4 linked regions of the Macaca mulatta genome follow. Each later gene encodes a partner of the first gene's protein in a complex. Links are inferred from orthologs where the notes say so. Each region holds a gene or a part of one and is shown in the gene's direction. Other genes may lie near its edges.

Region 1 (6,717 bases):
AAAACATTCTTGTCCTGGGAAAACACATTGAAGTATTCAGGGGTGAAGGAATGAGAAACCAATAAAGCAAATGAAGGAAAATGTTAACATTTGGAGAATCTGAGTGAAGAATATGAAGTGTTCTTTGTATATTCATGCACTTTTTCTGTAATCTGAATTTATGTTATAAGTTTTAAAATGTTGGCTGGGAGTGGTGGCTCACACCTGTAGTCCCAGCACTTTGGGAGGCCAAGGCAGGAGGATTGCTTGACCTCAGGAGTTCAAAACCAGCCGGAGTAACATGGCAAAACTCTGTCTCTACAAAATATACAAAAATTAGCTGGGCGTGGTGACATTTGCCTCGTACTCCCAGCTGCTTGGGAGGTTGAGGTGGGAGGATGGCTTGAGCCTGGGAGGTCGAGGCTGCATCATCCTATGCACTACTGTGGCATGGTGGAAACTCAGGGCTGCACCACGCCTGCCCTTAGTACCTCACGAATTCTAAGTATAATATTGCTTCTAATAGAATACTTGCCCCACCTGATGTTAGAGGGTGTTATATCTTGAAACTTTGATAATACCAGTGTAAAGGAGCACTTCAGAATCTTCTCATTGGATGGTATATCTAGGCTTAAGGTAGAGTAAGTAGAGGTTATTATGGCCATAGAAGATACTGGGTTTGAACCTGGGGTTTGAAATTTCTGTGATAGTTGTAGGGAAGTTAATGTGTCCATACAGGCCGGGCGCGGTGGCTCACACCTGTAATCCCAGCACTTTGGGAGGCCAGGGTGGGCGGATCACCTGAGGTGGGGAATTAAGAGACCAATTTGGCCAACATGGCGAAATCCTGTCTCTACTAAAAATACAAAAATTAGCCGGGCATGGTGGTGTGCGCCTGTAATCCCAGCTACTTGGGAGGCTGAGGCAGGAGAATTGCTTGAGCCCAGGAGGCGGAGGTTGCAGTGAGCTGAGATCGCACCACTGCACTCCAGCCTGGGCATCAGAGCAAGACTCCGTCTCAAAAAAAAAAAAAAAAAAAAAAAAGTTAATGTGTCCATATAAAATTGCATAGTTTACTGTGACAAAAAGGATATGGAACTGAATCATTTCATTCAGGAACTTTGGATAATACCATGTCTTTAGGATTTAGCAGTGTTAATTTTGTCAGTGTTTATGAGAGATACAAGTAAGTGTTTGCTATTGGAAATCAATCTGTAACATAAAGCAAAAGTGATTCTGATATGAGATTGGGAGACAACGTGTAGTTTGGTTATGGAGGAGTAGAGAAATGGGGGCATAAATGGTGAAGGGTGTGGAATCCAGAAGATTTTCTTGTTTTTTTTTTGAGACAGATTTTCGCTCTGTCGCCCAGGCTGGAATGCAGTGGTACAGTCTCGGCTCACTGCAAGCTCCGCCTCCTGGGTTCACACCATTCTCCTGTCTCAGCCTCCTGAGTAACTGGGACTACAGGCACCCGCCACCATGCCCGGCTAATTTTTTTTGTCTTTTAGTAGAGACAGAGTTTCACCCTGTTAGCTAGGATGGTCTCGATCTCCTGACCCTGTGATCCGCCTGCCTCGGCCTCCCAAAGTGCTGGGATTACAGGTGTGAGCCATCGCACCCGGTGGAAGATTTTCTTTAGAGATCAGAAGATGCTACAGATTTTTTCATGCTGATGAAATTATTAGGGAGAGAATGGAAAATATGTGAATGGTTGAGAATATAATGCCTACTTAGAAAATATGGCAAACTTTACCTATCATAAATGTTAGTTTTAGAAACCAAGGAGATCATCTTGTCTTGGACCCCAAACTACTGGAAGAAAAGGAAGAAAATATTCTGTCTGTAGTTATGAAATGTAACAGGTTTGTTTTGTGGCTCTAATAAATCTTTGGTCTGTGTCCATAGGTTCTTGATAGTCCACAATGGGTGAACCACAGCAAGTAAGTGCACTTCCACCACCTCCAATGCAATATATCAAGGAATATACAGATGAAAATATTCAAGAAGGCTTAGCTCCCAAGCCTCCCCCTCCAATAAAAGATAGTTACATGATGTTTGGCAATCAGTTCCAATGCGATGATCTTATCATCCGCCCTTTGGAAAGTCAGGGCATCGAACGGCTTCATCCTATGCAGTTTGATCACAAAAAAGAACTGAGAAAACTTAATATGTCTATCCTTATTAATTTCTTGGACCTTTTAGATATTTTAATAAGGAGCCCTGGGAGTATAAAACGAGAAGAGAAACTAGAAGATCTTAAGCTGCTTTTTGTACACGTGCATCATCTTATAAATGAATACCGACCCCACCAAGCAAGAGAGACCTTGAGAGTCATGATGGAGGTCCAGAAACGTCAACGGCTTGAAACAGCTGAGAGGTTTCAAAAGCACCTAGAACGAGTAATTGAAATGATTCAGAATTGCTTGGCTTCTTTGCCTGATGATTTGCCTCATTCAGAAGCAGGAATGAGAGTAAAAACTGAACCAATGGATGCTGATGATAGCAACAATTGTACTGGACAGAATGAACAAAGAGAAAATTCAGGTCATAGGAGAGATCAGATTATAGAGAAAGATGCTGCCTTGTGTGTCCTAATTGATGAAATGAATGAAAGACCATGAAAGATGTTTATGTTTCTTTTTTCCTTTTGATAAATAGCCTCATATATTAGTTTATTTTCTTTTGGACAGTCTTAAGAGAGGTTTCAGTAAAAATGTAAACAGCTTTAATCTTGACTCCAACTTTTTCAATTATGAGATGTCATAGGCAGTAATTTCACTGTATAACAAGCATAGACAAATGAGTACCCCTGCACTAAGAATAATCACTTTAAAAAGCAAAGTGTTCACCGCTGTTGTATGGGACATTTCTATGTTTTGGAGTTGCAGTAAAACTTTGATGATAACCTCAGTAATAGCAAAAGTTTTCGTCTTTGAAAAGGGGATTTATCATTTGCTTTAAGAATGATAGAGGAATAATGGATATCAATCTATAAATGTAAAACTATGATATCTTTAAACTTATTCCATTAAAAATTTTGCTTAAGCTGCAAAAGGTAGTATAACATGTTAATAGAGAGGAGCCCAGAAGAATTATAAAACAGAAACTTTATTTTTTCCTCATGACTGCTCCTGTAAACCCACTATCTCAGTCTTTTCTCCCTATCCTGAATGGACTCTTGCAGGCAAGTCCCATGAATTGTTTTTATCACTCAGGTAATAAGTCCTTTGGCCATTTTAAGTTACAGACATTAATTTTAGTAATTAAGATGTCTATGTCATTAGCTACACATTTTCTTTAAAGCTAAGCCCAGACTTGCTTAAGTCCACAATGGGAAAGGGGTTTGACGGCAGAGACTGCTAGGTGTCTACCAGAGAGTCTTGTTCTTTGAAGATACGTTGCCAAGATGTGGCAACCCAACCAGGGACATTTCCGTACTGCCAGCATCTCTGTGAGAACATATGATTAAGTTCTAGGCAGTGAAATGTGGGCATAGGAATCCAGGCTTGCCCCATAAACATTTCTTGCATGATCCTCCATTCTTTTCTCCCAACTGCTGGTTGCATGGTCATATCCAGGATAAGTTTGGAAGCCACCGAAGATGGCAAAGATTGTCAGTCTGGGTCTTTGAATGACTGTGAGGACTAAGTCTTCTTTTCATTAACTCCACTCTGCCCCTCACTAATTGGACTTTATGTGAGCACTTTCTTCTCCCCACTGTCCATCACCTCTTCCACCAAGGTGTTAGTAGAGAGTTGACTTTGTTTCTGAGGATCTTTGCCTGCCATTTTCTTAATGTAGGCCAGTGGTTCTTAAAGTGTGTGGTCCTGGACCAGCAGCATTGGTACCATTTGGGGACTCACTAGAAATAAAAGTTTTAGTATAATCCATAGGTTCAGAAAAATAAAAAATAAATGAAGTTTCTCTAGCTCCATCCCAGACCTTTTCAACCAGAAAGTTGAAAAGACCAGCGGGGGCAACATAGTGAGAACTTCTCTCCATTGCTATTTAATTTTAAAAGGAAAGAATATAGGGTATGTTGATTGAAGGATAAGTTGAATATATAAACCATGAGGAGGACAGAAAGTGTCTGAAGTTTTGAGTTAGTAGCCCTGGAGACCATCCTTCCTGTGAGCTTCATTCTCTTTACTGATGAACTTCTTTAATGATGTAGGTGGAGAACATGGCAACTAACAGTTCCCATGTGTTAAGCATTTCTATGTTTACCACTGTCTGGGAGTTCGCTCTCAAATACGAAAAAAAATGAGGTTAATTAACGACCTAGACATGAGGAATTAGGGATTGCATACTTGATTCCAACTGGGCAAATCAACTGGGACTTGGCTCCCAGAATAATTTGACAGTCCCCACTATGTCTATGTATGGAAGAGTCAGTCTGTCTCAGAGGAAGGAAGTGGTGCTGAACTAACAACGAGATATCCACTACAGATCAGGCACGTGTAAACTTAATATAAATAGCAAAAATAAACTGTACAAATCTGTGTTCTCTTTATGAGAGTAGTTTTTCCCCAGCTATTCATTTATTCATGGTATTCATTTGATGAATACTTACTGTGGTCACCTCTATGCCTGATGCTAGTTTAAGTGTTGGATGTGTCGGAAGGGCGAAGGAAAATGTAACTAAGAAAACGAATTGATTTTTGAAGGTGATAGTTTGTGTCTTAACCATTCAGCCATTACAGCACCTTCAGAAGAATCTTGCTTCCAGTTATGTTTCTATTGTCTGTTCAAATCACCTTGTCCACATTATCTTCTCTTTTCAAGGCATGTGTACATGTTCACTTCTTTTTTATCTCTTAAAACTTTTTTTTTTTATTTTTTGAGATGAAGTCTCATTCTTTCGCCAGGCTGGAGTGCAGTGGCGCAATCTGGGGCCACTGCAACCTCCAACTCCCAGGTTCAAGCGATGCTCCTGCCTCAGCCTCCCGAGTAGCTGGGACTACAGGCACGTGCCACCATGCCCACTAAATTTTGTATTTTTGGCCGGGCGCGGTGGCTCAAGCCTGTAATCCCAGCACTTTGGGAGGCCGAGACGGGCGGATCACGAGGTCAGGAGATCGAGACCATCCTGGCTAACACAATGAAACCCCGTCTCTACTAAAAATACAAAAAAATTAGCCGGGCGAGGTGGCAGGCGCCTGTAGTCCCAGCTACTCGGGAGGCTGAGGCAGGAGAATGGCGGGAACCCGGGAGGCGGAGCTTGCAGTGAGCCGAGATAGCGCCACTGCACTCCAGCCTGGGCGACAGAGCGAGACTCCGTCTCAAAAAAAAAAAAAAAAAAAATTTGTATTTTTAGTAGAGAAGGAGTTTCACCATGTTGACCAGGATGGCCTGGATCTCCTGACCTCGTGATCTGCCCGCCTGGGCCTCTCAAAAGTGCTGGGATTACAGGAGTGAGCCACCATTCTTGGCCTAAAATTTTTTTTTTCTCTTTGAGTAGAGATGAGGTCTCACTATGTTACCCAGGTTGGTTTCAAACTCCTGAGCTCAAGTAATCCTCCAGCCTCCCAAAGTGCTGGGATTACAGGAGTGAACCACCATGCCTAACCTCACATTTGTTAAGGACTTTAGAAGACAACTTTGCCAGGTATGGTGACTCACACCTGTGATTCCACCACTGAGAGACTGAGGCGGGAGGATCACTTGAGTCCAGGAGTTCGAGACCCACCTGGGCAACATAGGGAGACCCTGTCTCTACAAAGAAATGTAAAAATTAGCTGGATGTGATGGCACATGCCTGTGGTTTCAGCCATTCCAGAGGCTGAAGTAGAAGGATCACTGGAGTCCAGGAGGTCAAGGCTGCAGTGAGCCACGGTCATGCCACTGTACTCCAGCCTGGGTGACAGAGCAAGACCCTGTCTCAAAAACATAAAAGAAGGCAGCTTCAACTCATGCACTGAGCTCCAAGATTACTGGGAACGGCAGGTGCAAATATCTCACGAGGAGATACAAAGTTGGCATAACTTGGATGAGAAAGGCTATGATGGCTACAATATCGTGAGGGAGGAGGTTGGAGCTTGAGAAGCAGATGGAGGACAGATGTATATGATTTAGAGGGTCAAGGGAAGGAGTTGGGTTTTTATTTGAAATCTGATGAGAAATTATGTTTGCAATTGATTTCTCATCAGATTTTACTAAAATACAGAGAATCAGTAGGAAGGGTACTAGCTGTCCTTTGATAGCTTTCTAAGTACCACAAATTGTGCTAAGTGCTTTGTAGCCATTCTCTTCTTTAGTCCTTGGAATAATCCTATGAAGAACCTTCTAAATCTGTTGGGATTTATGGCTGTAAGTGGCTGGCAATGTTTGAAGCTGTTTGTATAAATAAAGTCATTTCAGCCTTACAGCTATTTAATGAAATCAGTATTCTTTTTACACTTACATTTCAGATGAGGAAGTGGAGGGTCAGGGAAGTTACATAATTTACCCAAGATTACCTGACTAGTGAGTGGCAAAGCCAGAATGGAAACTAGGCATTCTAGTTTTCAAAGCCTGAGCGCTCAACCTTCATACTTCTTTGCCTCTCCATTCCCTCATGTTGTTACTAAGTCATGTAGGCAAATAAGTAGTGAAACCAAGAGTGGAGCCAATATTTTGACGCTAAAGTCCATGCTTGTAAATACTACTTGATACTGGGCTGAACAGATTTATAGATGGAAATTATGAGTTCCCTTTGAACATATTAAGGTGCTTATGTCTTAGCTTAGACTTCTG
Region 2 (6,700 bases), on another chromosome or scaffold:
CTGTCGAGTGGCTCTACCTCTAGCCTCACCCTGTAGGGCATGGGCTCTGTGTCCCCAAGCACGCTGAGCCAGGAGGCTGCAGGTTTGTTCTTGGGGGAGGTCTGGGCAGTGCCTGGTCTCAGCGTCCCCATCAGGAAGCAGTGCCAACTGTGGGTGTCACTCCTGCGTGCTCTGCCTGCTGGGTGACGGAGAGCACATTCCAGAACCTCTCAGGGCCTCAGTGTTGTCAGCTGTAATAAATTATGGGCGTTGCTTCTGATTCCATATGAGGCTGAATATGTGCGCCTCCACTGGTGCTGGGTCTGGGTTCCATCTCAGGGCCCCTGTTGCTGCCGGCTCCATGTCTTCTCTCATTCCTGGTAGTGGCCAGACGCACCGGGTCTGCCTCCTCATCTGCAACTCGCCTCCATACCTGTTGCCTGCTGTTGAGAGCACCACGTACTCTGGATGCACAACTGAGAATCTCGTGCAGCAGATTGGGGAGGTGAAGACTCCAGGGTCTGAGGGAGGAGGGTCTGGGGGCCAGGATTCTTGGGTTTGAGGCAGGAGGCACTGAGGGCCTGGACTCCTGGGTCTGAGGGAGGAGGCACTGGGGGCCTGGACTCCTGGGTCTGAGGGAGGAGGCACTGCGGGCCTGGACTCCTGGGTCTGAGGGAGGAGGCACTGGGGGCCTGGACTCTTGGGTCTGAGGGAGGAGGCACTGGGGGCCTGGACTCTTGGGTCTGAGGGAGGAGGCACTGGGGTCTGGACTCTTGGGTCTGAGAGAGGAGGCACTGGGGGCCTGGACTCAGTCACAGAATAGTCACAGACTGGCGACCAGCTTTGCTTACTCTCTTTTTTTGAAACAGAGTCTGGCTCTGTTACCCAGGCTGGAGTGCAGTGGTGTGATCTTGGCTTACTGCAGCCTCTGCCTCCTGGGTTCAAGCAATTCTCGTGTTTCAGCCTCCCGAGTAGCTGGGATTATAGACGCCCGCCATCACGCCCAGCTAATTTTTGTATCTTTAGTAGAGACGAGGTTTCACCATGTTGGCCAGGCTGCTTTCGAACTCCTGGCCTCACGTGATCTGCCTGACTCGGTCTCACAAAATCCTGGGATTACAGACGTGAGCCTCCACACCTAGCCCACTTAGTCTTACTGACAAAACCAGAACGTAGAGTCTCCCGGGGCAGGCAATACCAGGTTTCAGGGTCTCCTGCCTCAAAGCCCAGTGGGAATTGTGGTTGTAGGACTGGTGCTGTCCAGCCACACAGCAGCTGTGGTAGGTTGGGCGCTGGCCCCAACACCCCTATGGAGGGGGCCCGTCATGACTGCTGGGTCCCTCTCCTATAGCGGGGGATCCACTTCTCCATCGTCTCTCCCCGGAAGCTGCCTGCACTTCGGCTTCTGTTTGAGAAGGCAGCCCCCCCGGCCTTGCTAGAGCCGCTGCAGCCTCCGACAGATGTGAGCCAGGACCCAAGGCACATGGTGCTGGTTCGGGGGCTCGTGCTGCCCGGTGAGGCCTGGGCACCGCGCGCGGGGATCGGGGGCTCAACGTGTTTCCCAGCTCCCTCTGACTTGGATTTTGGATTTCTCTCCCCTTTCTCCATCTTGAATCCCTTCTTTCCGGGGTTGGCCATCCCTCCTGCTCTCAGTTGGGGGTGGCTCTGCCCCAGGCCCCCTCCAGCCAAAGCAGCCAGTCCCCCTGCCTCCTGCCGCACCCTCCGGTGCCACTCTCTCAGCAGCTCCCCAGCAGCCTCTGCCCCCCGTCCCCCCGCAGTACCAGGTATGGATGTTTCCAGGAAGGGACATGCTTCTGGGGACTTGCTGGAGCCCTGGCCCCTGGGGAGAGATCTAGTTGCATGTTGGAGCTTGTGGGATGATGGGAGTCCCATGGGACATTGGGAGGGTGGGACTCCTGGGGCCATGGAAGCTCATCTGCTAGGTGATGGGTGTCGTGAGCTTCTGAGCTCTCCCAGCTGGGGCAGCTGTGCCTTGTGGGGCCGTGGGTGGTGTGACCTCGTGGGACACCAGGATTGGAGGGCCATGGTCCTCACCAGTCCCTTTCCTTCTTCCCTTCTACCCACAGGTTCCTGGGAACCTGAGTGCAGCTCAGGTGGCCGCCCAGAATGCAGTGGAGGCCGCCAAGAACCAGAAGGCTGGGCTGGGCCCTCGCTGTGAGTCCTGGGGCGAGAATGAAGGGGCGGGCAGGGGCCAGGCAGGCCTCCCTCCACACACTTGTTCCTCACTTCTTCCCTTGGTCTCTCCCACAGTCTCGCCCATCACCCCTCTCCAGCAAGCTGCTCCCGGAGTGGGTCCCCCCTTCAGCCAGGCCCCAGCTCCCCAACTACCCCCAGGACCCCCTGGTGCCCCCAAGCCACCACCTGCTTCCCAGCCCAGTCTGGTCTCCACCGTGGCCCCTGGCTCCGGTCTGGCTCCCACAGCGCAGCCCGGGGCACCGTCCATGGTAGGTGCCTGCACACCTCCTGCCCCCACTCCTTCCTCCTGCTGCCCACAGCTAGGACAGTTAGAGGATGAGTCATTTGCCTTCCAGGGGGGTGTGGATCTGGTGGCCCTGGGGCCTTGGGGGTTCGTGGTACGTGTGCTGCAGATGCCTGAGATGAGGGTCTGGGGACGGAATGGGGAGGCTCATGGCTCCAGGTGGGTCAGGGCTGTTCTGAGAAACCCAAGGAATCCCTGGGTTTGGGAGTCCGGGGCATCACACAGCTTATGAGTCCTGGAATCCTGCAGCATCCAAGCATTTCGGGTCCTGGGGCTGGCCAAGTGCTCTTCTGGGAATGGATGAGCAGAAGAAGGGGCCTTTCCTTCTTCCTGGTTTGCCCTCACAGGATGGCCCCTGGAGGCCCCCCTCTTTCCCCATTCTCATGGCCCTCCTTCCTCCTCTCTGGCAGGCAGGCACTGTGGCCCCAGGAGGGGTGAGTGGCCCTTCCCCAGCCCAGCTAGGAGCCCCAGCCCTCGGTGGGCAGCAGTCAGTCTCCAATAAGCTTCTGGCATGGAGCGGGGTCCTCGAGTGGCAGGAGGTGAGGGGCCTGAGGGTCCATTGGGCACTTGGGACTCCTGGGGCCATGGGGCTGGGCATGTGGGACTCATGGGTCACATGCATGGGGTTTGCAATGCTGGGTTTGGGGGCATTCCTTGGGCTGGACCCGTGGGATCCGGGACCAGGCCAGGAGCCCCATGGCGCAGTGGGACTTGCGGTACAGAAGAGAGTCCCCATGCAAAGAACCCAGAAAAGCCTAGGATTTGGGGCCCAGAGAAGGGCCCAGGTGATGTAGCACCTGGGGCACAGTGGATTGTGGGATTTAGGGGCCGGGCACGTAGCCCTAACATTTGAGGAATTGAAGGTTTGCTGGTCTGGAGGAGGGGCCAGGGGCTCATGGGACTTAAACTGGGGAACATCCTGAGCTTTGGGGCCAGCAGGCTAGGACATGAGGGCTCAAGGGGACTGAGGCTTATGGCCCTTTTTACTTTGACATGCTCTTTTTCCCCCTCAGAAACCCAAACCTGCCTCAGTGGATGCCAACACCAAGCTGACACGGTCACTGCCCTGCCAGGTCTATGTGAATCATGGCGAGAACCTGTAGGTGACTGTCGGGTGGGGTGCGGTGGGGCTGGGGCTGGCCCCCTCCTCACACCTCTCCTGGCATCACCCCCCCAGGAAGACTGAGCAGTGGCCCCAGAAGCTGATCATGCAGCTCATCCCCCAGCAGCTGCTGGTGAGTGGTGGTGGAGGGCCAGCCCTGCTGCCAGGCAGCCCTCACCCTACTGTCTCTTCCCTGTTCCCTGCCCTACCCCCACTCCCTGCCTCGTGTCCCCACCTCACTTGCCCACACCAACATGCCAGCTGACTTCTGTGTCTCCCGCAGACCACCCTGGGCCCTTTGTTCCGGAACTCAAGGATGGTCCAGTTCCATTTCACCAACAAGGACCTGGAGTCTCTCAAAGGCCTCTACCGCATCATGGGCAATGGCTTCGTGAGTCCAGGGCATTGGGGGCCGAGGGGCATTAACTCTTGTACTGCTTTCTGCTGACCTTTGAAGGGAATCCCAGAGTGCCTGGGCCCATGGAAGCCGTTTTTGATGGTTGGGTGGACTTCATGCCCTTAGGTTCCTCGCCTTTCTTCTAGAGCCTTGACTTTTATTATAATCATCGTATGCACCAGATTGAGGGATATTCCACATTAAAAATGTGAGCTGGATGTGACTGGAGCAGTTAGGAGGAAGCTGTTGATTCTGGCATGGGTTTATGGGATGTGTTGGTTTCCTGTGGCTGCGGTAACACATTACCACAAGCAGAGGGGCTCAAAACAACAGAAATGTGTTCGATCCCAGTTCTAGAGGCCAGAAGCCCAAGGTCAGGGTGTTGGCAGGACCGCGCTCTCTCTAGAGGCTCGAGGGAAGGCCTCCTCATTGCCTCTTCTAGCCAGTAACCCCAGGCTGCAGGTGGCATCGCTCCAGGGTCTTCCTTGATCCTGTGGCTGTCTTCCCTCTGTGTGTGTCTCTATGTGGCATTTTCTGTATCTCTGTGTCCCTGTGCTTATAAGGACATCAATCATTTTGGATTAGGCCCCATTTTCCTGATCTCATCTTACTACAACTGCAAAGACCTTCTTTCCAGATAGAGTCTGGAAAAGGTGCTGGAGACTGGAACCTCAGTTTAGCTTTCTGGTTTTGTTTTTTGAGACAGAGTTTCACTCTTGTCACCCAGGCTGGAATGTAGTAGTGCAATCTTGGCTCACAGCAACTTCCGTCTCCCGGGTTCAAGCGATTCTCCTGCCTCAGCCTCCCGAGTAGCTGGGATTACAGGCATGTGCCACTATGCCTGGCTAATTTCTGTATTTTTTAGTAGAGACAGGGTTTCACCACGTTGGCCAGGCTGGTCTCGAACTTCTGACCTCAAGTGATCTGCCGCCTTGGCCTCCCAAAGTGCTAGGATTACCAGTGTGAGCCACCGCACCCAGCCTCAGCATAGCTTTCTGGGAGACACAGTTCACCTTGTAACTCGGGGAAGGAGCAGATCAGTTACTTCTGTGCACCAGGCATTCCTGCACGAAAGAGGACCTTAGGGATCACCTCATGGGATCCTCACAGAACCGTGTGAAGAAGGCATTCCTGAGAGTTAGGAGTGCTTCTGGCTGCAAATAACATAGTTTTCCAAACAAATAGATAATTGGGGGCACTCAGAAAAAATTTTCTCTTATGATTCTGTGAGTCACCTGGGCTCAGTGGCCATCTCGCTTGGGGACTCTCATGGAATTGCCATCAGATGGCAGCTGAGACTCTGGTCGTCTGAAAGCTTGACTGGGCTGGATGTTCAAAATAGGCGCTCCTCATAGGCCGGGCGTGGTGGCTCATGCCTGTAATCCTAGAACTTTGGGAGGCCGAGGTGGGCGGATCACGAGGTCAGGAAGATTGAGACCATCCTGACTAACACGGTGAAACCCCATCTCTACTAAAAATACAAAAAATTAGCCGGGCGTGGTGGCGGACGCCTGTAGTCCCAGCTGCTCCGGAGGCTGAGGCAGGAGATTGGCGTGAACCCGGGAGGCGGAGCTTGCAGTGAGCCAAGATCGCACCACTGCACTCCAGCCTGGGACAGAGCGAGACTCCGTCTCAAAAAACAAAACAAAACAAACAAAAACAGCTCCTCACACAGCACTGGCTGTTGGCTGGGGCTTGGCTAGGACCGGCCATCCCAGTGTCTGCACATGGCCTGTCCACATGGCCACACTGTGGCAGCTGAGTTCTGAGAGGACAGGCGTTGTAGGAGCAGGCATTTATTTTTTTGCACAGAACAGGACATCCAGAGGGGGCCAGCTATTGGGGTTGGTTTCATAGGTCTGTGACATCAGGGGCAGGGCCCTGTGGTTCTCTTGACCTCTCCTGTATAGTCACAGGGTAGCTCCCATGGCTCCAGGCATTCCGTATGCCTTCATGAAGGAGGGGAAGGGGGCTGTGTATTTCCCTTTCTTCAAGACAGCAGAGACTTTCTCAGATTCCCGAGCAGGCCTCCCTTTCACCTCCTGGCCCAGACCTAGGCCACTGGGCAGCACCTAGTTGATGGGAGGCTGCTGGGAGCAGATATCCATGACTGTCTGGGGCTGGGACATGTTGCAGCCCCAGGTGGCATTGGGAATGCAGGGGAGGAGGACACTTGGATTTGGATTAGGCAGCTAGCAGTGTCTGTCTCAGGCAGGAAACTGAGGCTCAGAGAAGTCAGCTCACTTGGCCTAGGTCAGCCTCGCCTCCCTCAGGAGCCCCTGCCCTGAATGCTCCATGTGTTACCCCCCTGATGACCAGTGATGTTTCCTGGGTGCTTCCTGTGGGCTGAGCCTCGGGCAGGGCTCTTGCTGTGGATCGGACATCCCATAGTCACAGCGACCCTGTGATGTGGGAGCACTCCCCGTGGGGTACACTGGCCGATGCTGAGGCCTGGAGGATCTCTTGAGGCCCGGGGTCCGACACCACCATTGATCACAGGCCTGTGGGTACCGACCGCGCTCTGCATCTAAGCCTCTCTGTCACGGCTGTGACTCTCAGCAGCCCTTTAAGGAGGCAGCCGTGGCATTTAATGCCCAAGGAAACTGGGGCATCCCATGAGGAGCAGGTGATGGCCAAAGGTTGAAGAGCTGGGCTCCAGCGCTTTCTCTCCACTTTCCCTCTCAGTGCGCAGCCAGAACCCCAGCTTGCCCTGAGTGCCTCA
Region 3 (7,227 bases), on another chromosome or scaffold:
GTTGCCAGGGGTTGTCGGAGAGGGAAGGATGAATAGGTGGAGCAGAAAAAGATTGTAGGTCAGTGAAAATATTCTGTAAGATACTACAATGGTGGACACATGTTACTCTTTTATCCAAACTCACAGACTGTATAAGATAACATCAAGAGTGAACTCTAATGTAAACCATGAACTTTGGGTAATGATGTTCAAGGTAGGTCCATCAACTGTAACAAATATACCATCTATGTGTGAGGGCAGACAGTATATAGGAATTCTCTGTACCTTCCTCTCAATTTTGCTGTGAACCTAAAACTGCTCTAAAAAATTCTTTTAGGGTCGGGCGTGGTGGCTCACGCCTCTAATCCCAGCACTTTGGGAGGCCAAGGCAGGCGGATCACGAGGTCAGGAGATCGAGACCATCCCGGCAAACACGGTGAAACCCCGTCTCTACTAAAAAATGCAAAAAAACTAGCCGGGCATGGTGGCAGGCGCCTGTAGTCCCAGCTTCTCGGGAGGCTGAGGCAGGAGAATGGCATGAACCCGGGAGGCGGCGGAGCTTGCAGTGAGCGGAGATCGCGCCACTGCACTCCAGCCTGGGCAACGGAGCGAGACTCCGTCTCAAAAAAAAAAAATTCTTTTAGTCCGGGTGCTGTGGCTCACGCCTGTAATCCCAGCACTTTAGGAGGCCAAGGTGGGTGGATCGCTGGAAACCAGGAGTTTGAGACCAGCCTGAGCAACACAGCAAAACCCCGTCACCACCAAAAAAAAAAAAAAAGCAAAAATTAACCAAGTGTGGTGGCTTGCGCCTGTGGTCCTTGGTACTTGGGAGGCTGAGGTGGGAGATTTGCTTGAGCCCGGGAGGTGGAGGTTGCAGTGAAGTGAGATTGCACCACTGCACTCTAGCCTGGGCCACTGAGTGAGACCCTGAAGAAGGAAGGAAGGAAGAAGAAAGGAAGGAAGGAAGGAGGGAAGGAGGGAGGGAGGGAAGGAAGGAAGGAGAAAAGAAAAGAAAAGAAAAGAAAAGAAAAGAAAAGAAAAGAAAAATTATCTTTTAAAAATATCCTTCAGGTCGGTGGCTCACGCCTGTAATCCCAACACTTTGAGAGGCCGAGGCAGGTGGATCGCCTGACCAGCCTGACCAACATGGAGAAACCCCGTCTCTACTAAAAATACAAAAAAAAAAAAAAAAAAGGAAAAGAAAAAATTAGCCAGGCATGGCAGCACATGCCTATAATCCCAGCTACGCAGGAGTCTGAGGCAGGAGAATCGCTTGAACCAGGGAGGCAGAGGTTGCAGTGAGCTGAGATCGCGCCATTGCACTCCAGTCTGGTCAACAGGAATGAAACTCCGTCTCAAAATAAATAAATAAATAAACAAATAAATAAATAAATAAAATATCTTTCAGGCTGAGCGTGGTGGCTCACACCTGTAATCCCAGCACTTTGGGAGACTGAGGTGGGAGGATCACTTGAGGTCATGAGTTCGAGACCAGCCTGGCCAACATGGAGAAACCCCGTCTCTACTAAAAATACAAAAATTAGCCAGGCGTGATGGCGTGAGCCTGTAATCCCAGCTACTGGGGAGGCTGAGGCAGGAGAATCACTTGACCCTGGGAGGCGGAGGTTGCAGTGAGCCGAGATCATGCCACTGCACTCCAGCCTGGGCAACAAGAGCAAAGCAATAAATAAATAAAAGCAATAAATAAAATAATAAAGAAATAAAACAAAATAAACAAAAATAAAAATATCCTTCAGAGTTAGTTCAAATGTTACCTCAGCCTCCCAAGCAGCTGGCATTACAGGCGCCCACTACCACACCAGCTAATTTTTGTATTTTTAGTAGAGATGGGGTTTCACCACGTTGGCCAGGCTGGTCTTGAACTCCTGACCTCAAGTGATCCACCCGCCTTGGCCTCCCAAAGTGCTGGAATTACAGACGTGAGCCATCGCTCCCGCCTTGAATTACTTTTTCTTTCCATTGTGATTCAATAGCATTTTATTTTTGTTACTGGTGTTATTTTTGTTTATTGTTATTTGCTACTTTTGTTATAGTACACTGGCTGTCTTTTCTCTAGAAGGCAATACAAGGCCGGCACAGTGTCGCACGCCTGTAGTCCCGGCTACTGGGAGGCTGAGGCAGGAGGATCGCTGGAGTCCAGGAGGTTGAGGCTGCAGTGAGCCGTGATCGCGCCACTGCACTCCAGCCTGGGTGACAGAGGGAGAATCTGCCTCAAAATAAATAAACAAATAGCAATACGACAATAGGATATTGGCTCTGGAATTGAGAATCTTAGTGCCAGCTCTGTTACTCAGTAGCTGTATAATACTGGGTAAGTGAATTTTCACACTTTGAAAACCAGCTTCCTCATCTGCAAAATCGAGCCAATAATAATCCCTAACTCATGAGGCTGTGAGCAGATTAAAGGAGATAGTGTCTGAAAAGCATCTGACACAGTAGGTGCCTCTTTCGCTAGACCAAGGGTTCTTAACCTGGAGTTCATGGACCCTTAGGGGATACATGGATGAGCTTCAGGGGATCTAAGAATCTAAAGTAACATTTTGCATGTCAATATATGCATATTATTATTATTTCTGGGAAGAAGGTCCATAGCTTTCATTAGCACCTTTAAGGGTTTGTGAATCAAAAAAGTTACTCTGCGGTACCCTTGGGCAGAAAAAACAAACAAAAAAGGTTAGACAACTCGATGGTAGACCTTGAGGGATTAGAGCCAGCCTTTCAGGGTTTAATAGGTTCTTTCTCATGCATACGTAGTTTCTAATGTTCACAATAGCCCCTTGAAGGAGGTGTTAGCGCACCTATTTTTCAGATGCCGGAACTAAGAAACGAACTGATTTGTAATAGACGGAGTTCCTAACCAATGCAAATATTATTGAAGACTTTTCTAGGCCAAAACCGAGCTAGGCTCTGGGAACCGAATTCCAGTCAGAACTCAGCACCACAGAGGCCTCCCTCTTCCCTGGTTTGCATCCCCAGCTCACTCTGCGCCTCCGGAACGTTTCGTAGATTTTTGCTGAGTGAAATCAACTTACCGCCGCCGCCGCCGAAAAACTCCCGGGGCACGGAGCTCCGCCCCCACCGGGCCAGGCCCCACCCCCTCTGCGGTCGGTATTGTCCGATGGTTCCCGGCGTCCCTCGGCTTCCCTCGGTAGTTTCCGGCAATGGTCGAGAGTTTCTAACGTGCCCCCTTGTTGTCTCTCGGCCGCCGTCCTCTCAACCACCGCCCCCCTTTTCGGCTCCCTCTCCCCCTTCCCGTTCCCCCAGTCAGCCTGGCCCTGCTGGCGCCTCCGGCGCTACGGGCTGGGCAAGATGGCGGCCTTCGGGATCTTGAGCTACGAACACCGGCCCCTGAAGCGGCCGCGGCTGGGGCCTCCCGATGTTTACCCTCAGGACCCCAAACAGAAGGAGGTGCGTTCGAAAATCGGGGCTCTGGAAGGGCCGGGGGCACGCGGTCAGCCTAGGAGGAGGCATTGACGTCTGGGAATGGGGGGCGGGGCGGTTCGGTGAGAGCGAAAGTCCCGAAAGGGGGAAGAGTAAAGTGGGCTGGCGTGGGAGGGCAGGACGGGGCGCGGTGGGGGGTTCCAAGGTATGAATAGGGGGTGGTGTAGGGGCCGCACCAGAAGCGCCCTCCTCCACACACATCTCAGAAAGTTGTCTGAGACAGCTTGGTGGGGTACGGCTGCTCGGATGTTCGCAAGAGAAGAGTGATGTTTGAGGGCGCCCTGGGTGATTGGGAATCGTAGTGACCATGGGGGTGACGGTGGGGTCCAAGTGAATGTAAGGGCCCAGCTTTAAGTAACGATCTGTGCTACACGGAACCCTCCTCCTGCCCTTTCACCTTGTTCCTTCGCTTCTCCTGCCCTACTCTCCCATCCCCTCCCCCTCCCCCTAAGGAAAAAACAACTAAACGCCGCTTTCCTGCCTCAGGATGAACTGACGGCCTTGAATGTAAAACAAGGTTTCAATAACCAGCCTGCTGTCTCTGGGGATGAACATGGCAGTGCCAAGAACGTCAGCTTCAATCCTGCCAAGGTGAGACAACTCTGCCAGGCTGAAGGAAAAGGCTGGAAGAATCTGAGAAGGAGCAAAGGCCCTGGGTAGGGAAGACTTATAGGGACAACCTAAGTGGCTGAGTTTGCCTTCATGACCTAATGCTGTCTCATTGGCATTTGCCCAGCAAAAGGCAGGCCACCTGTCTGCCCCTTCTTCCCACCCTGAGGTACAGTTTTCTTCCCTCAGATCAGTTCCAACTTCAGCAGCATTATTGCAGAGAAGTTACGTTGTAATACCCTCCCTGACACTGGTCGCAGGAAGCCCCAAGTGAACCAGAAGGACAACTTCTGGCTGGTGACTGCACGATCCCAGAGTGCCATAAATACTTGGTTCACTGACTTGGCTGGCACCAAGCCACTCACGCAACTAGCCAAAAAGGTAAGGTACTGTTTCCTGTCCTTCAGGCCAAGGAGGGAGCATAGGGTACCAAGTATCCTCCTATTCCCATATTAAGCTACATGGGTGTCAGCTCATGGGGATAATAGAGACCTCACTATTTGCAATGTCCATCCAGGTCCCCATTTTCAGTAAGAAGGAAGAAGTGTTTGGGTACTTAGCCAAATACACAGTGCCTGTGATGCGGGCTGCCTGGCTCATTAAGATGACCTGTGCCTACTATGCAGCAATCTCTGAGACCAAGGTTAAGAAGAGACATGTTGACCCTTTCATGGGTGAGTAACTCCTAACACCAGGTGTACGGCTGATGGCTTCAAGGAGGGATAGAGACACCCTTGCAAACATCCTCCTTCTTAATCTAGATTCCTTGTTTCTGCTTGTTTCTTGCATTTGCTTGATCAGTAAACACTGAGAAATTTGAGTGTCTACTGTGCACATATACTGGTCTACAAAAACGTCCAGTGCATAATCTCTGCCCCTAGGATACTAGTAGTCTAACAGGGCTGCTAAGGTATATGTACAAATAACATAATTAAATATAGAAGGTGGTGAATGTCAAGCTAGGAGCAGAAGGTTCTTTGAGTGGACAAAAGATTACTTTCTTATGGGGATACCCAGAAAGGCTTTAGGAAGGTGGGATTTGACTAGAGACAAAGGATGAACTGAATTTACAAATATGGTGGGTGATTGGGAGTGGGGTAAGGTATTCTAAGTAGAAGGATATTCTTTTTTTTTTTTTTTTTTTTGAGACAGAGTCTTGCTCTGTCACCCAGGCTAGAGTGCAGTGGCAGGATCTTGGCTCACTGCAACCTCCACCTCCCGGGTTCAAGTGATTATCCTGTCTCAGCCTCCCAAGTAGCTGGGATTACAGGTGCCCACCCCTGCGCCCGGCTAGTTTTTGTATTTTTAGTAGAGACGGGGTTTCACCATCTTGGCCAGGCTGGTCTCGAACTCCTGACCTCGTGATCCACCTCAGCCTCCCAAAGTGCTGGGATTACAGGCGTGAGCCACCGCACCGGCCAGTAGAAGGAAATTCTAAGCAGAAGGATAGTATCAAATAGCCCTTTTTCCCTGTTTCCTCCAGAATGGACTCAGATCATCACCAAGTACTTATGGGAGCAGTTACAGAAGATGGCTGAATACTACCGGCCAGGGCCTGCAGGAGGTGGGGGCTGTGGTTCCACGATAGGGCCCTTGCCCCATGATGTAGAGGTGGCAATCCGGCAGTGGGATTACACTGAGAAGCTGGCCATGTTCATGTTTCAGGTAGGGAGTAGGGCATGCTGTGTGGGGCATTAGGTTGAGCCTGAACTTGTACTCTGCCAATAGAGAACAGAATCTGCTTGCCACCTTGCCCCAGTTGTGGTTCTCTTCATCTTTTCATTTACTTTATCTGCTTCATCTCTAATAGTCCCCTCTTCCCTCCCCTGGTACCCATAGGATGGAATGCTGGACAGACATGAGTTCCTGACCTGGGTGCTTGAGTGTTTTGAGAAGATCCGCCCTGGAGAAGATGAATTGCTTAAACTGCTCCTGCCCCTGCTTCTCCGAGTAAGGCTTGGAATTTTGGTGGTGGTGGGGCAGGGGGAGTCTAAGAAGGATTTAAGGAAGAATAAAATGTCAGAGCAGGGTCCCCTGGAGAGAACTAGGGGCTCTGATGGTCATGTCTTCACAGTACTCTGGGGAATTTGTTCAGTCTGCGTACCTGTCCCGCCGCCTTGCCTACTTTTGTACACGGAGACTGGCCCTGCAGCTAGATGGTGTGAGCAGTCACTCATCTCATGTTATATCTGCTCAGTCAACAAGCTCGCTACCCACCACCCCTGCTCCTCAGCCCCCAACTAGCAGCACCCCCTCGACTCCCTTTAGTGACCTGCTTATGTGCCCTCAGCACCGGCCCCTGGTTTTTGGCCTCAGCTGTATCCTACAGGTAGGTACTAGGCGGGCCCAAGGAAGCATTGAGAGATAACCTGAGAAGAATTGGGTGCCCATCCCAGAGTATAGGGGTAATTCCAAATTGGATGTGGGAGTAGGTGCTGAGTACTTGCTTGGAGGTGGTGGTTTCTTGGTAATGGGGTGTTAGTCCCCTTTGGGGGTTTTGACCAGCCTCTCTCTCCCTTCCAGGGCTAAATAGTAGGCCCAGAGCCTTTTAGGAAAGTGAGTGAAGGGAGGGGATCGGGTGGAGTGATGCCTGTCTTGGGGGCCCAGTCAGAATAACTTTGGATCTGGAATCTACGGGTTTGGTCTTAGAATGGGATTCCAGAGGGGTAGCCATGTGAACGAGTTGGACTTAGCTGTTTCTATCTGGCAGACCATCCTCCTGTGTTGTCCTAGTGCCTTGGTTTGGCACTACTCACTGACTGATAGCAGAATTAAGACCGGCTCACCACTTGACCACTTGCCTATTGCCCCCTCCAACCTGCCCATGCCAGAGGGTAACAGTGCCTTCACTCAGCAGGTATGTCTGACCACTCGCCTGGTACTCTCAGATTGGGCTATGAGGCTAAAGTGCTCTCTCAGAAATAGTGATTTGGAGTCTGGTACTATTCTTCTAGCCTGGGGCTCTGGCCTTTTGTATGCCTTGGTACATCCTTATAGCCTTCCTTTTTAACATTGCAGGTCCGTGCAAAGTTGCGGGAGATCGAGCAGCAGATCAAGGAGCGGGGACAGGCAGTTGAAGTTCGCTGGTCTTTCGATAAATGCCAGGAAGCTACTGCAGGTATGTGTCGGAGAACAGATAATAGGAAGTATGTTTGAGGAAAGGATGGAGATAGTAAG
Region 4 (7,500 bases), on another chromosome or scaffold:
GAGCTCTCCTTGTCACAGACCGCTTCTTCCGCTTCCCCGGGGCCTCCTTCCAGGCCTCACTCTCGGCAGGGTTAGTATTTGGACAGGGAGGAGAGAAGGCTCTTGTAGCATCTAGAAAGGCTAAGGTACTCTGCAGTTTTGCTAATTTGGTTTGTTCGCACATCTTTGCTATTCAAACACGACCCCACCAGCTTCCCAGCATGGGTGAGACTAAGGGAGAGGACTTGTGTCTTAAAGCATGTCCTCCTTGTGTCTTAAAGTGTGTCCTTGATTGGTTTTCTGCTTCTCATATGAGCTTGCATACGTTTGAAATATCGTCGCCAGACTTGTGTATCATTCTGCTACTTGTGCTTCTTACATATGATATGCTCCATCATCTTTTAGGCTCTTTGGAGTCTCTTGTTCAGTTTGCATCCTAAGTTTTTCTTAACTGACTCAGCAGGTAGCTTTTGCAAAACTTAATCACTGTTAACAATTGTTACAATGCATTATTAAAATAGGGGACGTCACAGTTATTACAGCCTACCTTAGTGATCACTGTTAAAATTCCTACACAGTGGCCCACAAGTGGTAGGTATTGTGTCCGATTTGTGCTGCTGTTTTCTTTAATGATTTCTCTTTACCTTTAAAGTCAACCCTCTTCCATGACTGTTTCTTAGGTCTCACTACAATCCTGCTATGTAGAAGTGGCATGCTGTCCTAATGGACCATGCTCTAGCTTTCCAAGCTGCTAGAACTGTGTTTCTCAGCCTCGGCACTATTGACATTTTGGGACCAGTGATTCTTCATTGTTGGCAGAGGGAAGGGTGTTGACCTGTGCACTGTAGGATATGAGGTGGCATCCCCAGCCTCTACCCACTAGGTGCCAGTAGCACCTAATGTGCTACCCACTCCCCCTAACTTGTCTACCAAACTAAAATGTCTCTAGAGGTTGCCATATATCCTCTGGGGTCAAAATCACACTTAGTTGAGGACCACTGTCCCACATAAAATGTAAATGGCATCATATCATTCCTCTGTTGAAAACCCTTCAATGTTTTCCTATTGACCTTAGAATAAATCTCAAATTCCTTTCTGTGGCTTAGAAGACCTTCTGTGGACTGGCCCCTGCTTGCTTCTAACTCCTCCCTTCAGTTCTGCTTCCATGTCTATATAATCGCCTCTCTCTCCCTCCAGCCACACTGGCCTTCTTTCTGTTCCTTGAACATTCAAAGCTTGTTCCCTTCTAGCTTTTGTATTTGCTGTTCTTCTGCCTAGAATGCACATGTTCCAGATCACTGTTCATTCACACATATCTCAGATTAAATGTTACCTAATCAGCAAGGACTTCCCCGACCATTTTATCAAAAGAAGCCTCTTACTTCCATTCTCTATCACATGACCCATATATTTCCTTCATAGTGCTAATCACAATAGAAAATTGTCTCGTTTTGTCATTGCTTGTCGGCCTTTTCACCAGAGTGTAAGCTCCACTACAGCTGGGACTTTGGTTTTTTTTACTGCTATAGCCCAAGTTCCCAGAATACAGGCAGTCCCCAACTTAAGATGGTTTGACTTATGATTTTTCGACTTTACAATGGTACAAAAGCGACCAGGAGAAATAGTACTTTGAGCACTCATACAACCATTGTTTTTCACTTTTAGTACAGTATGCAATAAATTACATGAGATATTCAACATTTTATTATAAAATGGGCTTTCTGTTAGATGATTTTGCTCAACGTTAGGTGTTCTGAGCATGTTTAAGGTAGGCTAGGCTAAGCTATGATGTTTAGTAGGTTAGGGATATTAAGTGCCTTTTCAAATTACCGTATTTTCAACTTACAATAGTTTTAATGGGAGGTAACCCCATTGTAAGTGGAGGAACATCTAGTACCTGGCACAGAGCAGGTTCTCAATAAATATGACTCTTCTCCATCTTCTTCAAACCTCAGACCAGGTTTCAATGGCCTCCTCTCACTTTCTCTTCTAAGATTATTTTTGCTTGCTGGTGGGTTTACTGTCATTTTTAACTACATCTAACCTACCTTTAAAAAGTGTATGGATGGGAGTGCCAGGTACAAAGACTTAGCATAAAGAAAACCACCAGTTACCTTGAAACATAAACAAAGGCCATTAATAATTTATGAGTCTGTTCCTTGCCCCTCAAGTTTCTAGCAGGCATGGAATCATTCCACAGGTCATGATTTCAGTTTGGTCTCTGTTCCTAAGGGGTGAAGGTCTTCTGAGGGCTGTGGATCCCAAACTCACCTGGCTCAGAGGCTCAAACAGCCTCTTTGTCCATCAAGCCAATTTAGACAGCATCCTGGGCATGAAAATCTTTTGTGCTGGCTTCAAGTGAAAATAGTTCACTGGGTCAAAAGTAGGCTGGTCCAAGACGCAGGATGGTCAATAAACGTTGGCTGTGTTCAGAAACTGCGGCTTGGCTGTTTCTTCCATTGATTTATGGTTTGTTTCCATGAAACCGAAAATGATTGGTCCACCTGGCAGCTGGCTGGCTGGCTGGCAACTGGAGGCCTTTCTGTCCTGGCTGAGGGCCCTGGCCCCTTGGTGGCCTTTGGGAAGCAGCATCTCATCGGGCCGGTTTTTCGTTCTGGCGGGCGGCCGGCTTGGCCCGCGGGGCTGGGCTCTCCGCGCAGTGCAGAGCCGTCTCCACCCTCAGGGACGAGGCCCTGATGTGGCGGGACGTCGTTTCCGTGCGCTGCGAGGAGGATTCCACGTGCCGGGAGGACGCCTCGAGGATGCCAGGGAGCCGCTTCCCCAAGGGGGAGAGGGAGGGCCCCTCGCTGCGGCGCTGGGAGGTCTCCACCCGCCGGGACGACGTCTCCACGCGGTGGGACGAGGTCTCCACACGGTGGGACGAGGTCTCCACGCGGACTGTGGACGTCTCTGTGTAGCGGGTGGTCCCCACCCGGGGAGAAGACTGCTTGGCCCCTCGGGCTGAGGCCATTCTGCCGGCGTGAGGGGGCCAAGGAGGCCTCGGGGCACCCCCCAGCCCAACGGTCACCGCAGGCAGAAGAGAGGAAAACTACGGTACTGCCATAGCCGGGAGCGCCACAACACGATGACGTGGAAACACCATGATCCTTCCAAGGCTAAAAACACTGGGCTCCTGCCCCTCAGGCGCTCCCACGGCCCGGGCCCCGCCCCCTCGCTATTTTGGAGCCAGCGCGGGTGGAGCCATCCCAGGGCTGGCGGGATGGGCGGAGCCGCCCGGCCCCATATCCCACAGTGCCCCGGGACCGGAAGAGAGAGCCGTGGTTTCCGGAACTTCCCCCGCCACTCTGGGCTTTTGCTCGGTCAGGCTGGTGGCGTTTTGGTGTCTTCGTTTGTTATGGCCGCTGCCGTCGCTATGGAGACAGGTGAGTAGCTCTCTGATCTTGGAGTCTTCGCAGATGGAACTCCCCTCGGTCCAGACGGCTTCCCCGTGGCCTCCTTCCAGGCCTTACTCTCGGCAGGGTTAATATTTGGACAAGGAGGTGAGAAGGCTCTTGTAGCGTCTAGAAAGACTAAGGTACTCTTTGCAGTTTTCCTAATTTGGTTTGTTCGCACATCTTTGCTATTCAGACACCACCCTACCAGCTCCCCGGCGTGGGTGAGACTAAGGGAGAGGACTTGTGTGTTAAACCGTCTCCTCCTTGATTGGTTTTCTGCTTCTCACATGAGCTTGCCTAAGTTTGAAATATCGTCGCCGGACTTTATGTGTCATTCTGCTACTGGTGCTTCTTATATGCATACGCTCCATGATCTTTTAGGCTCTGCGCAGTCTCTTGCATCCTAACTTTTTCTTAACTGATTCAGCACGTAGCTTTTGCAAAACTTAATCACTGTTAACAATTGTTATAACGCATTATTAACATAGGGGAAGCCATAGTTGTTACAGCCTACCTTAGTGATCTTAGGAATTCTCCGTTTGTGTTGCTGCTTTCTTTGATGATTTCTCTTTAATTTTAGAGAAACTTCTAACTCCTTTTAATCAGGGCTCCGCTTTTCTTAGATTTCGAAGAAAGGTTTATCTCCCCCAACTCCCAGTTTAGGAAGACCATCTCGGCATTAGTCAGGTTTCTTTATTGCTGTTTCCTTACTACAAATCAGTATTATATACAGTGACCCTTACTTTCCATGATTTTTGCTGTCTTGTCTCCTAGATGATGCTGGAAATCGACTTCGGTTTCAGTTGGAGTTGGAATTTGTGCAATGTTTAGCCAACCCAAATTACCTTAATTGTAAGTTGTTAAGCACCTCATTAAATTGAGTAGCTACTAATGATTTCTGACAGAAGAGTTGCAATTCAAAATAGTATCTACTTTTACACATTCTCAATTGAATGACATTACACTTATGCTGGTATATAGATATAATTGCGCACTGGGATTTGTGTTTTGAATTCAATGTGTGTTGGTGGTGGGGGTTTTATGTAAATAGATCCTTTACATTAGGGGTAACAAAGCATAGTTTAAAGATTGGTTTGACCTACAGACATTTTTTTTTTTTAATGCTTTTCAGTTCTTGCCCAAAGAGGTTACTTCAAAGACAAAGCTTTTGTTAATTATCTTAAATACTTGCTTTACTGGAAAGACCCAGAATATGCCAAGTATCTAAAGTAAGTTTAATTTTTATAATCCTAAGCATGTGTATACTTTATGATATGATAGATTTCTTCGTTTCACATTGGCAAAAATGTATTTGGAATCTCTCCACTTCTTTTCGTTGTCACCATCTTAACACAAGACACTCTCATCTCTAACTTGTATCACTGCAGTAATCTACTCCCTGGTTATCTCTGCTTCCACTTTTACCTTCCTGCCCCCCCCCCACCCCAAACCAAACCAAGCAAAACAGCTTTCTACACAGAAACCAACTTAGTCATTTAAAAATATAAATCAGAACACTTTACTTTCTTGCTTAGAACCTTTCCATGACTTTCCATACCATGCAGAATAAAATCCAGTCTCTTTTCTTGGGCTAAAGCCCTATATGATCTGGCCCTGCCTTGTCTGACCTTGTCTTTCACCACCCTCCCCATCTCACCAGGTTTCTGGTCCCGAAGAACTCACAGTCTGTAAATGAAGTGACATAAGCCATGGGCTGAAATTAAAAGAGGGTATCTGTAAGGAAGGTGTTTCTGGGGTTATTTGGAGGAGGTGATGTTAACCTGAGTCTTAGAGTTGCTATCTTTTATTTAAGGCCTCTTATGTGCCAGAAACAGTGCTAAATGCTTCATATGCATTAACTCATTTATATATATATATATATATATTTACCATTCAGGTCATTCAGCGACACTTTTGTGTTAAGGCTTACTGAATTGCAAGAAGCATATAACCACAAACCTATTCCCTTTTAATGATTAAAAAAAAAAAAAAAAAAACACCTTGAACTCATCCCTGCTTTGTCTTAAGCAGGTAGAAAGCAATAGTGAACCTTAAAAAAAAAAAAGTTTGAGAGGAAAATGTTTCAAACTTGTTTCGAAGTCACTTTTCTGTGTCCAATAACAATTGACTCACGAAGCATATACATCTTATATTGCCTTCAGGACCCTTTGCACCTTTTCTGGCTTTTTATCCATTTAATAATCCAAAGAAAAGACTTTTAAGAAAAATAGATTTCAACAAATGTTGTATGTATGTAGATTTACAGACTCAGTGTTGGAAGCCTTAGCCACCAACAAGTTTAATCTTACCCAAAACGTTGCCGAGAGATGGTCATCTACACTCTGGAGGTTTTCACTGAGCCCATGTTACTCTGTCAGGGACAGCTGATTTGATTGTTAGCCAGATGTTAGAAAGTTATTCCTTATATTGTGATATAATGTCTCTCCTTGTAGCTCTAGTCTGATTGTAGTGTTATCCTTCATCTATCTGCAGTCACATGAAGTCTATTTGTCCCACTACTGGTGACATTAATTTTGATAACTTGGTTGTCCCTGGATTGAGCTAGAACCATTCTATACCCTCTTGAGGACAACAACCTTCCAGATACTTACATTCAAGAGAGATTGCAGATTAGCCCCTTTTGGGCATTTTATTCAGTCTGCAGAAGATTTTAGTTTTTTTTTTTTTTTTAATACTTGCCAACATTTGAAGATCAGAAAGTTTTATATAACAAATGCAGATTTCCCGCTACTCTTTCAAATCTGGAAGATCTAGTAACCATAGATCTTAATTCTCCCAAGTCAACAACTGGCTGAAGCTGAGAGCAGCTGTCACTACTAGCTGCTTTCCAGCTGGTGGAAGGGACACTTTCTACCACTTGGCCTGCTTCGTTGGTAGCCAGTAGGTGTCACTATAACATCTCTCTCCATCTGTGTTTCTCAACTACCCTCAGCCGTTGTGCCGTGGTGTCCCGGAGTTCAGGTTCCCTCCGCTGGATGTTTGGCAGTGGTACTTTATGCAGTTCAGCCAGGAACTAAACACAGGCCTTCATGTGTGGTCAGAGTACAGTGGGCCAGAGGTCCTTTCTTTTCTTCACGTGGACATATACCTTATGTTACTTTTGAGGGTGGGGGTGGGAGAGGATCACATTGTTGACTTGCTGGGAGCATTACGTCAATTAAAATCCTTCAGTTATTTTCATCAATGTTCTCCCTATCTTGTTTATTTTTAAAAACACCGAATGTGGAACTTCCCTTTTATACTGCCGCTGTTTCATCTTGTGGACATGTAGCCTATCAGAGTACGATTCTTTACTGTCATCTAATGTATTCTGATGTAATCACTGCATGTCTGAATTCTAGTTACTGACTAAATGCTGCTTGAGACCATTCTCTTGGTTGTCACATTATTTTACAGTTGAAGAAACTGAACCTTAGGGAGGTTAAGTACCTTGTTGAAGGCCACCCGGCTGGAACTTACATCCTGGTTCATTTTAACTACTAATGCTGTCATGAAAGGGAGTTAGCCAGGGCAGGTGTGAATAGAGCATTCTAGCATAAGCAACCAACAATTAGAGCAACTGTGTATTTTCATTGCGTAGATAGCAAACCTTTAATGTCTTGGAAGTTACTATCTTAGAAGCATGTGTTAAGCCCTCTATTCAATGTGGTGTTCACATCATCAGCATTGGTTTCATTTGGGAGCTTTTTAGAAATGCAGAGCTCAGGCCCCACTCCAGGCCTAAGGAATCCATCAGCATTTTAAGAAGTGGTTCATATACACATTAAAGTTTTAGAATCATTGCTGTAGTATCCTATTTTCCACACTTGAGTCATTTGCATATCACTTGTGCAACTTTGGCTTTATCTGCTTTCTTCCTGAAGGGGGCCTGCCTCCCCACACCTGTGGTATTTCTCGTCAGGCGGAGACCAAAGACTGAGAAAAGAAATAAGACACAGAGACAAAGTATAGAGAAAGAACAGTGAGCCCAGGGGAACAGCACACTCAGCATGCGAGGACCTGCACCGGCGCCGGTCTCTGAGTTCCCTCAGTATTTATTGATCATTATTTTTACTATCTTGGTGAGGCGAGTGTAGCAGGGCAACAGGTAGGGAGAAGGTCAGCA

The links.
Region 2: MED7 (region 1) and MED25 share a complex: the UniProt entries of both Homo sapiens proteins name them as parts of the mediator complex. The link is inferred for Macaca mulatta from reciprocal best matches to the Homo sapiens genes MED7 and MED25.
Region 3: MED7 (region 1) and MED12 share a complex: the UniProt entries of both Homo sapiens proteins name them as parts of the mediator complex. The link is inferred for Macaca mulatta from reciprocal best matches to the Homo sapiens genes MED7 and MED12.
Region 4: the proteins of MED7 (region 1) and MED31 are in contact, whole or in part, in a cryo-EM structure (PDB 7EMF), measured with the Homo sapiens proteins. The link is inferred for Macaca mulatta from reciprocal best matches to the Homo sapiens genes MED7 and MED31. Residues at the interface, in NP_001094286.1 of Homo sapiens: Met15, Gln16, Tyr17, Ile18, Lys19, Tyr21, Thr22, Asn25, Ile26, Lys33, Pro34, Pro35, Pro36, Pro37, Ile38, Lys39, Asp40, Tyr42, Met43, Met44, Phe45, Gly46, Gln48, Gln50, Asp52; in NP_057144.1 of Homo sapiens: Asn14, Arg15, Leu16, Arg17, Phe18, Gln19, Leu20, Glu21, Leu22, Glu23, Phe24, Gln26, Tyr33, Phe36, Leu37, Tyr42, Asp45, Ala47, Phe48, Asn50, Tyr51, Tyr54, Tyr57, Glu62, Tyr63, Lys65, Tyr66, Lys68, Tyr69.

What each region holds. Positions count from the first base shown.
Region 1 is NC_133411.1:166,002,310-166,009,026, reverse strand, and holds the end of MED7 (mediator of RNA polymerase II transcription subunit 7), read left to right. Parts: intron 1-1,887; 5' UTR 1,888-1,904; coding exon 1,905-2,603; 3' UTR 2,604-4,480; downstream 4,481-6,717. UniProt on the Homo sapiens protein: Component of the Mediator complex, a coactivator involved in the regulated transcription of nearly all RNA polymerase II-dependent genes.
Region 2 is NC_133424.1:62,292,158-62,298,857, forward strand, and holds part of MED25 (mediator of RNA polymerase II transcription subunit 25), read left to right. Parts: intron 1-363; coding exon 364-484; intron 485-1,330; coding exon 1,331-1,493; intron 1,494-1,632; coding exon 1,633-1,763; intron 1,764-2,066; coding exon 2,067-2,154; intron 2,155-2,250; coding exon 2,251-2,444; coding exon of another isoform or gene 2,445-2,494; intron 2,495-2,840; coding exon of another isoform or gene 2,841-2,889; coding exon 2,890-3,018; intron 3,019-3,492; coding exon 3,493-3,578; intron 3,579-3,656; coding exon 3,657-3,714; intron 3,715-3,864; coding exon 3,865-3,972; intron 3,973-6,700. UniProt on the Homo sapiens protein: Component of the Mediator complex, a coactivator involved in the regulated transcription of nearly all RNA polymerase II-dependent genes.
Region 3 is NC_133426.1:77,580,285-77,587,511, forward strand, and holds the start of MED12 (mediator of RNA polymerase II transcription subunit 12), read left to right. Parts: upstream 1-3,280; 5' UTR 3,281-3,309; coding exon 3,310-3,408; exon of another isoform or gene 3,409-3,485; intron 3,486-3,927; coding exon 3,928-4,032; intron 4,033-4,239; coding exon 4,240-4,431; intron 4,432-4,567; coding exon 4,568-4,724; intron 4,725-5,533; coding exon 5,534-5,715; intron 5,716-5,889; coding exon 5,890-6,000; intron 6,001-6,124; coding exon 6,125-6,379; intron 6,380-6,760; coding exon 6,761-6,907; intron 6,908-7,068; coding exon 7,069-7,168; intron 7,169-7,227. UniProt on the Homo sapiens protein: Component of the Mediator complex, a coactivator involved in the regulated transcription of nearly all RNA polymerase II-dependent genes.
Region 4 is NC_133421.1:8,130,359-8,137,858, reverse strand, and holds the start of MED31 (mediator of RNA polymerase II transcription subunit 31), read left to right. Parts: upstream 1-3,234; 5' UTR 3,235-3,334; coding exon 3,335-3,362; intron 3,363-4,148; coding exon 4,149-4,226; intron 4,227-4,506; coding exon 4,507-4,603; intron 4,604-7,343; exon of another isoform or gene 7,344-7,500. Other genes in the region: C16H17orf100 (uncharacterized protein C17orf100 homolog), read right to left, coding at 2,573-2,950. UniProt on the Homo sapiens protein: Component of the Mediator complex, a coactivator involved in the regulated transcription of nearly all RNA polymerase II-dependent genes.